2 linked regions of the Arabidopsis thaliana genome follow. The protein of the gene in region 2 interacts with the protein of the main gene of each other region in a pairwise test. Each region holds a gene or a part of one and is shown on either strand. Other genes may lie near its edges.

Region 1 (5,473 bases), on a different chromosome or scaffold from region 2:
TCTTTTGTTTTGTTGGAATTCTGGTGTGGTGATCGTCTTTTGTCATCTGCTTACTTGGTGTCTGGTGATTGTGTCTTCTGATCGTCTATTACCAGCCGCACTTTGTTTGACCCTTGCTTGAAAGTATTCGAGCACACGCATGCACACATCACAACACAGATATATTAGTATTAAAAGAATGAGCATACATAAATTGTTGTATGAAAACGACACGACTCAGGTGATACTTGGAGTTTGAATGATGAGCATATATCGGGTTTTACTTGCGCTTAATGCATAAGCATAAACGTACTGTACTCTTTATAATATCGTATTGTAATGTCAGTAATATGTACCAACAATTCTCTTGTTGGATGATTCTTTTTGGGTACCGTGATGTATGGGCTGGCTTTACCAAGGAGATAGGTGTGACACTTGTTCCCCCATAGATTTATCAATTGTTCTTAGTCCCATTGATTTTATTTGAGATTTGCTACTTCAAAATTCAAATGGTGAAATCTATCCAACTACCCTTTTGAATCCACACATATAATACACAAAAGTTCATTAAACAATATTAAAATGTCAAATGAAAAAAAAAGTTCTTCTAAAAAAAAAAAAAAAACATTAACTATATGTAAAACCACTAAATATCTTTAAAATTATCGCTCACTTTGTATCCTTTACATTACCCGTTAAAAATGCTTGTTTGTTATAAATTTTGCATTAAACAATTATAAATTCTAGTTTTTCATATTTTAAATTTTCTTAAATTCATCGTTCACTATTTATCATTTTTATTATAATGTTTAAATAAATAACGCTTCTTTGTACAAAACAAATTAAAATTTGCAATCAATACTTACTAATTGCATGTTTTTCCATATTTTGAAAATTTTAAAACTTATCTTTCATCATTTAATATTTCAATTATTCTTTTAAATATATCACGCTTATTTGTGATACAAGACAAAAGAAAAATGTATTTAGCACTTGGTAAATATATTTTTCCATATTTTATTTTTTTCATAAAGTTATCTTTCATCATCTATAATAAGAGGTTTACATTTATTTGTTATTTTTGTTTTACGTCGTACATTTATATATATATATATAGATATATATATATATATATATCAAATATTTTGTTAAAATGCAACTAAAGTTAAAATTTAATTCAAATGTAAATATCATACATTACTGTTTAAAAATATTTTAATGTCTTGTAATTTTTCCTTAATGAAAAACATATTTGATGTATCATTTTGTGATTAAGTTAAAGGGTCGCAAATAGATATATACTCTAACAAAATTCACAGAAAATATAAATTTGAAACTAAATTTTATGTAAATGTATCGATTTCAAATCCTAAACAGAGGACATAGAAGTTAGTAATTGCATTTGTTTTGCCATACTCATCTCAATACATCTCTTACTTATCATACACTCTTTAATGGAGTTTGTTACATGGGTTACTTAATGTAACAGTGTTTGCTATATACTTCATTCGATGTTATTCTAAAATCAACAAAATTGTTTTACACTGAAAGCGAGGAGTTCTTTTCAGAAAAATAATTTAAAATTTTGGCGGTCCATTTTTAAAATTTTGGTGATTTTTTATTACATTGGAGCGAAAATGTAGCAAAATTCTAAGAGGCAAAAATGAAAAAAATCAAAGTAAAGAAACACAAAATCCTTAAAATAAAAGACAAAATGATATGACACGTCATCGATCCTCGTCAAAACCGTCGATAGAAAACAAATCAACGGTTAGATTTAATAGTAATCTTTCTTCTCATCCTTTCGTCTCTACTCCTCCGCCTCTCTCTCCCCAACCTAACTTTATTTATTTCTCTCACAAAAATTTTATTTTCACAAAAACAAAAAAATCAAAAGAGCTCTCAGAGCAAAAAACAAAAAAAAAGAAAAAAAAACCCTAAATCTAAATCTCACCTTCCACCTCTGTCTTTTTTTTTTTTGTTCTTTTTTTTTTTTTTACTGTATCTTCTCTTCTCTTTGCTCTGCAAAAATCTCACATCCATGGATCCATCTCTTGGTGATCCTCATCATCCTCCTCAGTTCACCCCTTTTCCTCATTTTCCCACCTCCAATCATCATCCTTTAGGACCAAATCCGTACAATAACCATGTCGTCTTCCAACCGCAGCCGCAAACGCAAACGCAAATCCCGCAACCGCAGATGTTTCAGTTATCTCCACATGTTTCAATGCCCCACCCTCCTTACTCCGAAGTAAGTTCAATCTTAAAAGCCTCTTCCTTTATAACTAAATTCAGTTACTTTTTTTTTTGTTACTAATTTTTTTTTTCTGTGTGTAGATGATTTGCGCTGCGATTGCGGCGTTAAACGAACCGGATGGTTCGAGCAAGATGGCAATTTCGAGATACATCGAGAGATGTTACACCGGTTTAACTTCTGCTCATGCTGCTTTGTTGACTCACCATCTCAAGACTTTGAAGACCAGTGGTGTTCTTTCTATGGTTAAGAAATCTTACAAAATTGCTGGTTCTTCTACTCCTCCTGCTAGTGTAGCTGTTGCTGCTGCTGCCGCCGCTCAAGGTCTCGATGTTCCCAGATCTGAGATTCTCCATTCAAGTAACAACGATCCCATGGCTTCTGGCTCTGCTTCTCAGCCTCTGAAACGAGGTCGTGGTCGTCCTCCTAAGCCTAAACCTGAATCTCAACCACAACCACTACAGCAACTTCCACCGACCAATCAAGTCCAGGCTAACGGACAGCCAATCTGGGAACAGCAGCAAGTTCAATCACCTGTTCCGGTTCCGACTCCGGTTACAGAGTCGGCGAAGAGAGGACCTGGTCGTCCAAGGAAGAACGGTTCTGCTGCTCCTGCTACTGCACCAATCGTTCAAGCTTCGGTTATGGCTGGAATTATGAAACGTAGAGGTAGACCACCGGGTCGTCGAGCTGCTGGGAGACAGAGGAAGCCCAAATCCGTTTCTTCTACTGCCTCTGTGTATCCTTATGTTGCTAATGGTGCTAGACGCAGAGGAAGGCCTAGGAGAGTTGTTGACCCTAGCAGTATTGTTAGTGTTGCTCCAGTAGGTGGTGAAAATGTGGCAGCGGTTGCGCCAGGGATGAAGCGTGGACGTGGACGACCACCTAAGATTGGTGGTGTTATCAGTAGGCTTATTATGAAGCCTAAGAGAGGACGAGGACGTCCTGTAGGTAGACCCAGAAAGGTAAATTTTCACATCCCCCAATTCTGTATTCGTGATCTCGATTTTGCAATATCTGACGTTTACTGTGCATGATTGTTCACTGCTCCGCCGTCAATTTAGATTGATAAAGTTTGATACTTGTGTTGCAATCATTGTGGAATTCAAACTCAATGTCACTTTCCGCTTTTGAGCATTGTTGTCTGTTTTCGCGTATCCAAAATCTGACTAGTATCTAGTGTTTTTATTATATTTTCGTGTCCCTTACTTTTGGCTTATCCTTATCTGGTTTCTCTGTTTTATTTTAATTTTCGTTTGGATAATTAAGACCAAAATAGTCGGTAATGTATCGCTATAGCTAGGAATAATTTTATCATCAATTAGTGTGTTAATCCGGCTTAATGGTTTCTAAGTCATCACATAGTGTCTTCTTCTCTGTATCTTCTATTTTACTAGTAACGTGTTCAATTGGATCTAAAGTAAGACTTCTTAATTTAACCATTAATGTCTTTCTTGAATATGTTATACTTTTATCCAACAATTTTATTTTTTGGTTCATGAACCTAGATTGGAACATCAGTCACGACTGGGACACAAGATTCTGGAGAACTCAAGAAGAAGTTTGATATTTTTGTAAGTCTACTTGTTGACAATAAACAGTTTGGCTGTCCTTTATTTGATTAAAGTATTCGATTCTACTTGCTTATGTTTGGTTTTTGTATGTAAATGATTTCAGCAAGAGAAAGTGAAAGAAATTGTGAAGGTGTTGAAGGATGGAGTTACAAGTGAGAATCAAGCAGTGGTGCAAGCCATAAAAGATCTGGAAGCACTAACAGTGACGGAGACCGTTGAGCCACAAGTTATGGAAGAAGTGCAGCCAGAGGAGACTGCAGCACCACAGACTGAAGCTCAACAAACTGAAGCTGCTGAGACACAAGGAGGACAAGAAGAAGGACAAGAAAGAGAAGGAGAAACACAGACCCAGACAGAAGCAGAGGCAATGCAAGAAGCTCTGTTCTGAAGAATAATAATGATCTAGAAAACAACCTAGACATAATAGCCTTGGTGTTTGGCGTTAGGAGTGTTTTTTTTTAGTTGTTTTAGGTGTTGGAATCGCATCTTAAATTATATAAAAATCTATAAGGAATTTTAATTTTTCTAGGTTTTGTTGTCTGCAGAAGAAGAAATAGTAGACTCGTTAATGGTGTTGTTGTCGGTGTGTCTTTAACCAAACCATAAGACGTGGCTGTAAATTAGCGATGTTTCTAGTCTTCCATCTTTAATAATCTCTTATTGCGTCTGTGCCTTTGTTTTTTTCAATCTGTCTTCTGCTCTCTGCTTCCGCTTTGCACATTGTGGAGATGTTTTCGTGTCTATTTTCCACCCAACGGTTTTAGCAGGTCGACTCTTACTTAATTTCTTACTAATAATATCTTCATTTCCATCTCACGTTGGCTCAAAAAGCTATATAACTTTGACTCGAAAACATGTTAGAGTTAACACAACAGTCGAACTCAGAATCGAAATTGCAGTCCAAACGAAGTAAATATAAAATGAAATATATCGATATTCACAGCCCATACGACCGAGGCCTAAAAAAGAGTGAGTCAATGGCCCATTTGACCAGCAACTAAAATGATTGTCCTCTCGGGCCTCTCTCTTTCTCTTCCCTCTAAAACATTTTGATATTCTCTTCGACCAGATCAATTTTTCGGTTAGGGTTCTTCGCCGAACCATTGGCTACTTTGCTAGATCTCTGAAGGTGTAAAAGAGCTATGGAGAATGGGAAAAGAGACAGACAAGACATGGAAGTGAATACCACACCGAGGAAGCCTCGTGTACTACTCGCTGCAAGTGGAAGCGTCGCTGCTATCAAATTCGGCAATCTCTGCCATTGCTTCACCGAATGGGCAGAAGTCAGAGCCGTCGTTACGAAATCATCTCTACATTTCCTCGATAAACTCTCTCTCCCACAAGAAGTGACTCTGTATACTGATGAAGATGAATGGTCTAGCTGGAACAAGATCGGTGATCCTGTCCTTCACATCGAGCTTAGACGTTGGGCTGATGTTTTAGTCATTGCTCCTTTGTCTGCTAACACCTTAGGCAAGGTAATTTAACAAATCGACGAAAACCCTAAACCAACTACTTAGATTCAATTGTGTGACTTGTGAAAACATTCATGGAGGATTCAATTCATACAATATATTTTTGTTGTACCTTTGTAGATTGCTGGTGGGCTTTGTGATAATCTTCTGACTTGCATTATACGAGCTTGGGACTATACCAAACCACTGTT
Region 2 (5,873 bases):
ACAGCACGACCGAGATACATTATGGACCCTTTGCCAAATGAACTGGTAATCTGATCAAGTGCTTGCTGAAGAGCAATCTCCTTTTTCGACATACCTTCTTCAGATGATCCATTTCCATCTGACTTGGATTTCTTTTTAGCTTCAAAACAAAAACAATTGCAGAGTTAATGGCAAAAACCTCAACTTTAACAACCACAGTGAGCTAAGCAATCAGAAACGCAAACGGATTTAGCTCTAGTAATCTGTGGAAATACATATATTCATCAAAATCAAAAACCAATTTGAGTAAAATCGATTCATAGAAACAAAAGGTAAAAGCTTAAGACAACCTTTGGCAGCAAAGCCTCGGAGCTGAAACGATGTTCCAACCACACTTCTTCTAAGTAACTGCAAAACCCCATGAAACCCTTGTCAATAAACATTACCCAGAAAAAAAGAATGAATTCAAATTAAGAGACAACATTTCGGATTCTTTCTCATGAATGAATACCCAAATAAGCAATGAAAACGACAGTAACAGAGTTTTTTTAATTTCTCGTAATACCCAAATGAGAAACACGATAAACATACCTCTGACGAAAACAGAGAGCTTCTCAGTGAATAAACGTTTCGGAGAATCCTCGCCATAGAAAAGCACTAAAAAGCTTCTTCTCCACTTTTTTAAACCACAGATACAGAAACAAACCAAAAACTGGAAAATTCCAACTACCCAGAAGTCAGACTTGTATGAAAACGGAGAAGAAGAGAAATTTCACTGGAAAAAAAAAAGGAAGAGTTTTTTAGGGTTTTAGGTTTTCGTTTCCCTCCGTTTCAACTATTTTTTTTGGGTTTCTGTTGATCGGTCTTTTACAAGTCGGCAGAGATGTTTTTGACTTTTGTCTTTCCCAGAGAAACTCAAACCGATGTCTAAACCGGCTCATTGATGGGTTATGCAAACCGATAAATAAGATTGATTGGTTTTAATTATTTGACGGTTTGGTAATGTTGGTTTATAAAATTCGATCAATCTTAAGTAAACTAGATTGTCTCACAAATTCTCTCATTAACGAGGGAGGATAAATAGAATTGAATTCGAAATCTGACCAGAGAACGACATTAACTCGAAACAAATTCATAAGATCATTACAAAAGGAAAAATCAAGAGACACAAACCAAACCAAAGAACCCATTTTTTTTTTTTAAATAGCAAACCAATCACCCAAAACTGATATATAATAAACCGGACCATGACTCTGCAAATTAAAGAAACACAACCTCGGCTCAAAGACACTCTTCACTCTTCTTCTTCATCATAACTAAGCCAAGATTCTTCACTTCTTCACTGCTGCTTACATTCCGGTGGCCTCTCACCTGCTTGACCTTCCGCAAGTTGACTTCTTCCAGCCTTCTGTTCATTAAAAAAGGATACCTCAGGTTAGCCATTGCATTATCAACAAAAAAAAAAGATCGAGATTGATTGATTGTTAAACCTTGTGCCCAGCTGATGACTGCAACAAAACAAAAGATAAACCACCAAATCAGTTTCAGAGGTTTTAGTTTCCTATGTAGGAAGGTTTTAAGTAGAACAAAACCACATAATTTACCTTCTTTTTGCTCTTCTTTCCTTGATCTGCTTCTTCCTCCTCGTCATCATCCTCATCATCCTCCTCCTCGTCATCCTCATCATCTTCCTCGTCCTCTTCATCATCATCTTCATCAATCTCATCATCGTCGTCCTCAATATCAAGGTCATCTGCCTCAACAGCTTCACCAGTGAACCATGACACAGCATGCGAGATGATTTTCTCTTTGATTGTTGAACTACAGGATAAACAGTGGACAGACTCAGATCCTAGAACTGAACTAAGTGAAGAGAACTGAATATGAAATAGAAAGGTACACACCCGATATCATAATCATGCTCCATTTGTCCTTGGAGTTCATCAGCCTGTGAATATTAGATGATCAGATTAAAATCCAACACAATCTTAATTACTGACTCTAAAAACTAAACTGCTTATGGAGATGGAAATACCATGTCATCATCAAGATCCTCATCATCGTCAGGAACTTGAGGTGGACTGAAAAAGTTGAAGAAACTCTCACAGTCCTCAGTCTTAGTGATCGGCTTTGTGTTTTTGGATCCTTTCTTTGGCTTCTTTTTTAGAATCTTCTGTGTCAAACACTTTCCAGGATACCACTCAATCTCCGTCCTGAACAGCAGTAAACGACAGTCAATAAAGACTTATTGTCTTCAGAACATAAACAGTAAATACTTGATAGAGCAAAACATTACCCGAGGGCCTTCTCAAGGATAGGCTCATCTTCATCAATCATGTGATATGTCTTGGTCAAGACAGTGTTCTTGAAGTAAGGATTCTGATCAAAGAAAAACTCAAGCTTGAACCCTTTTGGTTCTTCAACCCTACTCCACTTGATATCTTTGAGATACTTGAGAGCCCCTTCATCTCGCTCAGTTATCTAAAACCGTGGAAAAAACCACATAATGATAAAGAGAATCGCCATTTTATAAACCAAAAAGAAGAATATTCTAATAACGAACCTCTTCCGCAGTAATTTCATTGTTCTTCAATGCAATAAGCCAGAAATCTGGTACTCCTTTCTCTGCAGAAAGACAGTTTCATATCATATAAAAATCATGAGTTCACCATCATCATCATAAGATACTAAAAATAAACATGTTTCAGTAAAAGAATCGATAAACACACCTTCAGCTGATTTATCTTCTCCTTGTTCGGATTTTACTTCTTCAGCTGCACCTTCAACTTCGACCACACCATTCACAATCTCATATCGCTGTGATGCAGAAGGCAGAAGACCATCAATATCAGTTACAATCACGAATGATGCAGAAAGAAGTGAAAACCATGAAGCACTAATCATTCACGTAAGTAGCAACAGAGAGAAGTCTTATTAAACCTTTATCAATTGAGGTGTCATCATGTGTTTCAAAGATATTCTAATAATAGGAAACTAAAGACCATAAGAATCTCGCAGAATCAAAGACCGTATTCAAACCTTGGTATATAAAGGCTGATATAACTTTTGATACTTAGCTTCAAGAGCTGCTCTCTCCTCAAAGAATTTTGCTTCCATCTCATCATATTGGTTCTGCAAAGGTTAAAATACAAAAGGAATCAGATAAATTTGCTCCACCAAAAACTCATTAGACCTGAACAGCCAGCTAATTCAAAACCAATACAAAATCCAAGATCATCTAAAAGCTGAAAATTTACTCACCTGAATCTCTCTTAGAAACTCGACACGCTTCCTGACTGGTGGAGTCAAGTTTTCAAGGACATCAGAGTGTTGTCCAGCCAAATTCTGCAACTTGTTCTGCAGCAAACACGTAAATCAAATCAGGAAAAGTCACAAACTTTCAAACAACCAAATTAAGATGCATAGACAATCCTCAAAACCAAAGTCAAATTCTCTAAGCCATAAGAATCAAATCAATTTCTCAAAACTAGTCAGGAAGAGAAAACAATCCCTAAAAGTTACAAAGATGAATAGCCCAATCTCCAGATAGTCATACGCAAATCATATCGTGAAGAAAAAACTCACCTTAAGAGCATTAACAAGCCCGGCACGATCCTCCTCGTTAAGAGCTATAAGCAAAACACAAAACAAGAGAAGCTTTTTTCAATAAATCAAGAGAACAAAAGAGAATCCAGGCCTCATTCTATAGGACAATAAGATTATAATATCTTACCGGTGGAGAGATCGGACATGTTCATGCTGTCCTTGTCGTTGCTCATCTTCGCAAGAAAAGAATCTGGCGGAGGAAGAGGAAGGATAAGAAACCTTAAAACCCTAGATTTTTGGGGACAAATACGAGACAGAGAATATATATATAAATAACTAAAAGGGCTTTGAGAAAATGACCAGACCGAAATAAGACACAACTAAAGCGAAAATAACAAATTTTTACATCAAAATTTGGCATGAATATTTGTTTTTAACATTTAAGAGCATTTCTGTTGATTTTTTTTAAAAAAAGGCTTTTAAGAGCATTTCTATTGGTTAGAAGAAATCTAGGTTGCATGGAAACTCGCCCCGAGGTCTATTTCCCATTTCCGAAACGTTACGAAAACAGAAACTCTCCGGAAACATGAAAAACGTAACGGAAACGCGTTTTTTAAAAATTTATGTTTGGAAACACGATGGAAACTTACGTTTTAAAGATAGAAACTCATGTTTCCCAAATAGACATACGACAAATTTTTTTCAACTTTGAAAATTTAATAACTAAAATTAAAATTATTAAAATTATTAATACATATAACTAATTTTGGAAGACTTTGAGTTTTAAGATATTTCTTTTGATAAACCAGATTTGAAAAGAGCTTTATATTATCTTTGATGAAACTAATGAAAATGAAAATGTTGGTCTAAATTAACTATTTGAACTTGAACCTTTTAATTTTTATCTTTTAGAATTTTAGTTTATTTATTTAATATTGATGTTTTGGACTTGTATTGTTTAAACCATTTTTTCTTTAATATAGTTTTATGTTAATGTTATATATATATATATATATATATGTATGTATGTGTATACGTTTCCAATCCCTAATTTTAAGAAAAAATCGTTTCCAATCCCTAATTTTAAGAAAAAATCGTTTCTCGTTTCCGAAACGTTTCGTATTCGCGTTTTCGTTTCCATTTCATTGCAACATAGGAAGAAACTCACGAGTCTTTTGATGATAGAAGTTTATTTATTTAACTAAAAATTTATTTATTACAAAAGTTTAACCTAATCATCAAAAAACAAATGTATATAAAAAAAAAGTATGTCATGAGTTTCTCAAGTGAAAAAAGAGTCTACTTTCTTTTAGCTCGAAGACAATTCTCATATTCTCATGAATGCTAGCTGATCACATGTTAATGCTTAATCTGGATTGATGCATTGTCATGAGTCACTCAAATTTCATATTAGCACACTATAGTAAGCAAATCTGATTGGAAAACATCTAGTGAGATGCTGCTTTGTTAGTTTAGGGAAAAATGCTTATTTGGTCCTAAAGATTTCGACTTAAGAATAGAGAAATGGTAAAAAAATGTAGAACATCATGCCAATCAAATGATACAAAAGTAACATAACCACCAAACGCATTTGCATGATCTATCTAATATTATATGTACCTATTTTGGTTTAAGGTCATTAATAAACTTGTTGATTAGTTTTTAATAATTTTGTAAAGTTTCTCAAACAATTTCTTTATTTTTATGATATTTTTCACAACTTTATTTTGTAAAAAAAAAGGGTATGATATTTTTCACAACTTTATTTTATAAAAAAAAGGGTAGAAAGTCATAAACCAATAACACAATAATTTAATTCATTATAATAATCATAGATTCTTTGTTTTAAATGAATTACACAAAAAATTTAATAACTTTATAAAAATATGAATCCAATAACTCTACATTTATGAAGATTTTATATTACTTTTTACAAATCTTAAACTAATAACACCAAACTTTAACAAAAAATTGAAAAATCTTTATTGAATAACAACAAATTCTTCATAACATTTTAAGTCACTGAAACTTCGAATACATCACAAACCAATAACACTCCCTAAATAAATTTATATATATTACTAGAAGTCTGGTTATTTGTTTAAATGTTAAAAGATATATGAATTTGTAAACTTAAGAGATTTATGGAATTTAGGAAAATATAAAAACAAAATCCTTATTCTTATTATAAAGTTTCTAAGAAATATACTGTATATTTTTTTCACCGAATAAAGATATTTAATAAATTGAGAAAAGGAATAGAAAAGACCAAAAGCAACAGGCTAAGCGAGACACACACACACGCGCAGTCTTCTTCATCTTGCTTGCTTCTGGTTGCTTAACCAAAA

What was found.
Region 1: the proteins of NAP1;2 (region 2) and HON4 interact in a two-hybrid assay, tested with the Arabidopsis thaliana proteins (one study listed by BioGRID).

The regions. Positions count from the first base shown.
Region 1 is NC_003074.8:6,168,106-6,173,578, reverse strand, and holds HON4 (winged-helix DNA-binding transcription factor family protein), read left to right. Parts: upstream 1-1,573; 5' UTR 1,574-2,020; coding exon 2,021-2,230; intron 2,231-2,316; coding exon 2,317-3,198; coding exon of another isoform or gene 3,199-3,270; exon of another isoform or gene 3,271-3,653; intron 3,654-3,741; coding exon 3,742-3,807; intron 3,808-3,910; coding exon 3,911-4,195; 3' UTR 4,196-4,616; downstream 4,617-5,473. Other genes in the region: HAL3A (HAL3-like protein A), read left to right, coding at 4,950-5,285, 5,403-5,473.
Region 2 is NC_003071.7:8,436,486-8,442,358, reverse strand, and holds NAP1;2 (nucleosome assembly protein 1;2), read right to left. Parts: upstream 3,904-5,873; 5' UTR 3,759-3,903; coding exon 3,713-3,758; intron 3,609-3,712; coding exon 3,565-3,608; intron 3,337-3,564; coding exon 3,241-3,336; intron 3,112-3,240; coding exon 3,019-3,111; intron 2,797-3,018; coding exon 2,709-2,796; intron 2,605-2,708; coding exon 2,543-2,604; intron 2,461-2,542; coding exon 2,276-2,460; intron 2,193-2,275; coding exon 2,015-2,192; intron 1,928-2,014; coding exon 1,884-1,927; intron 1,801-1,883; coding exon 1,584-1,800; intron 1,488-1,583; coding exon 1,470-1,487; intron 1,388-1,469; coding exon 1,319-1,387; 3' UTR 858-1,318; downstream 1-857. Other genes in the region: RECA2 (recA DNA recombination family protein), read right to left, coding at 1-139, 330-387, 571-627. UniProt on the Arabidopsis thaliana protein: May modulate chromatin structure by regulation of nucleosome assembly/disassembly. May function in nucleotide excision repair (NER). Involved in somatic homologous recombination.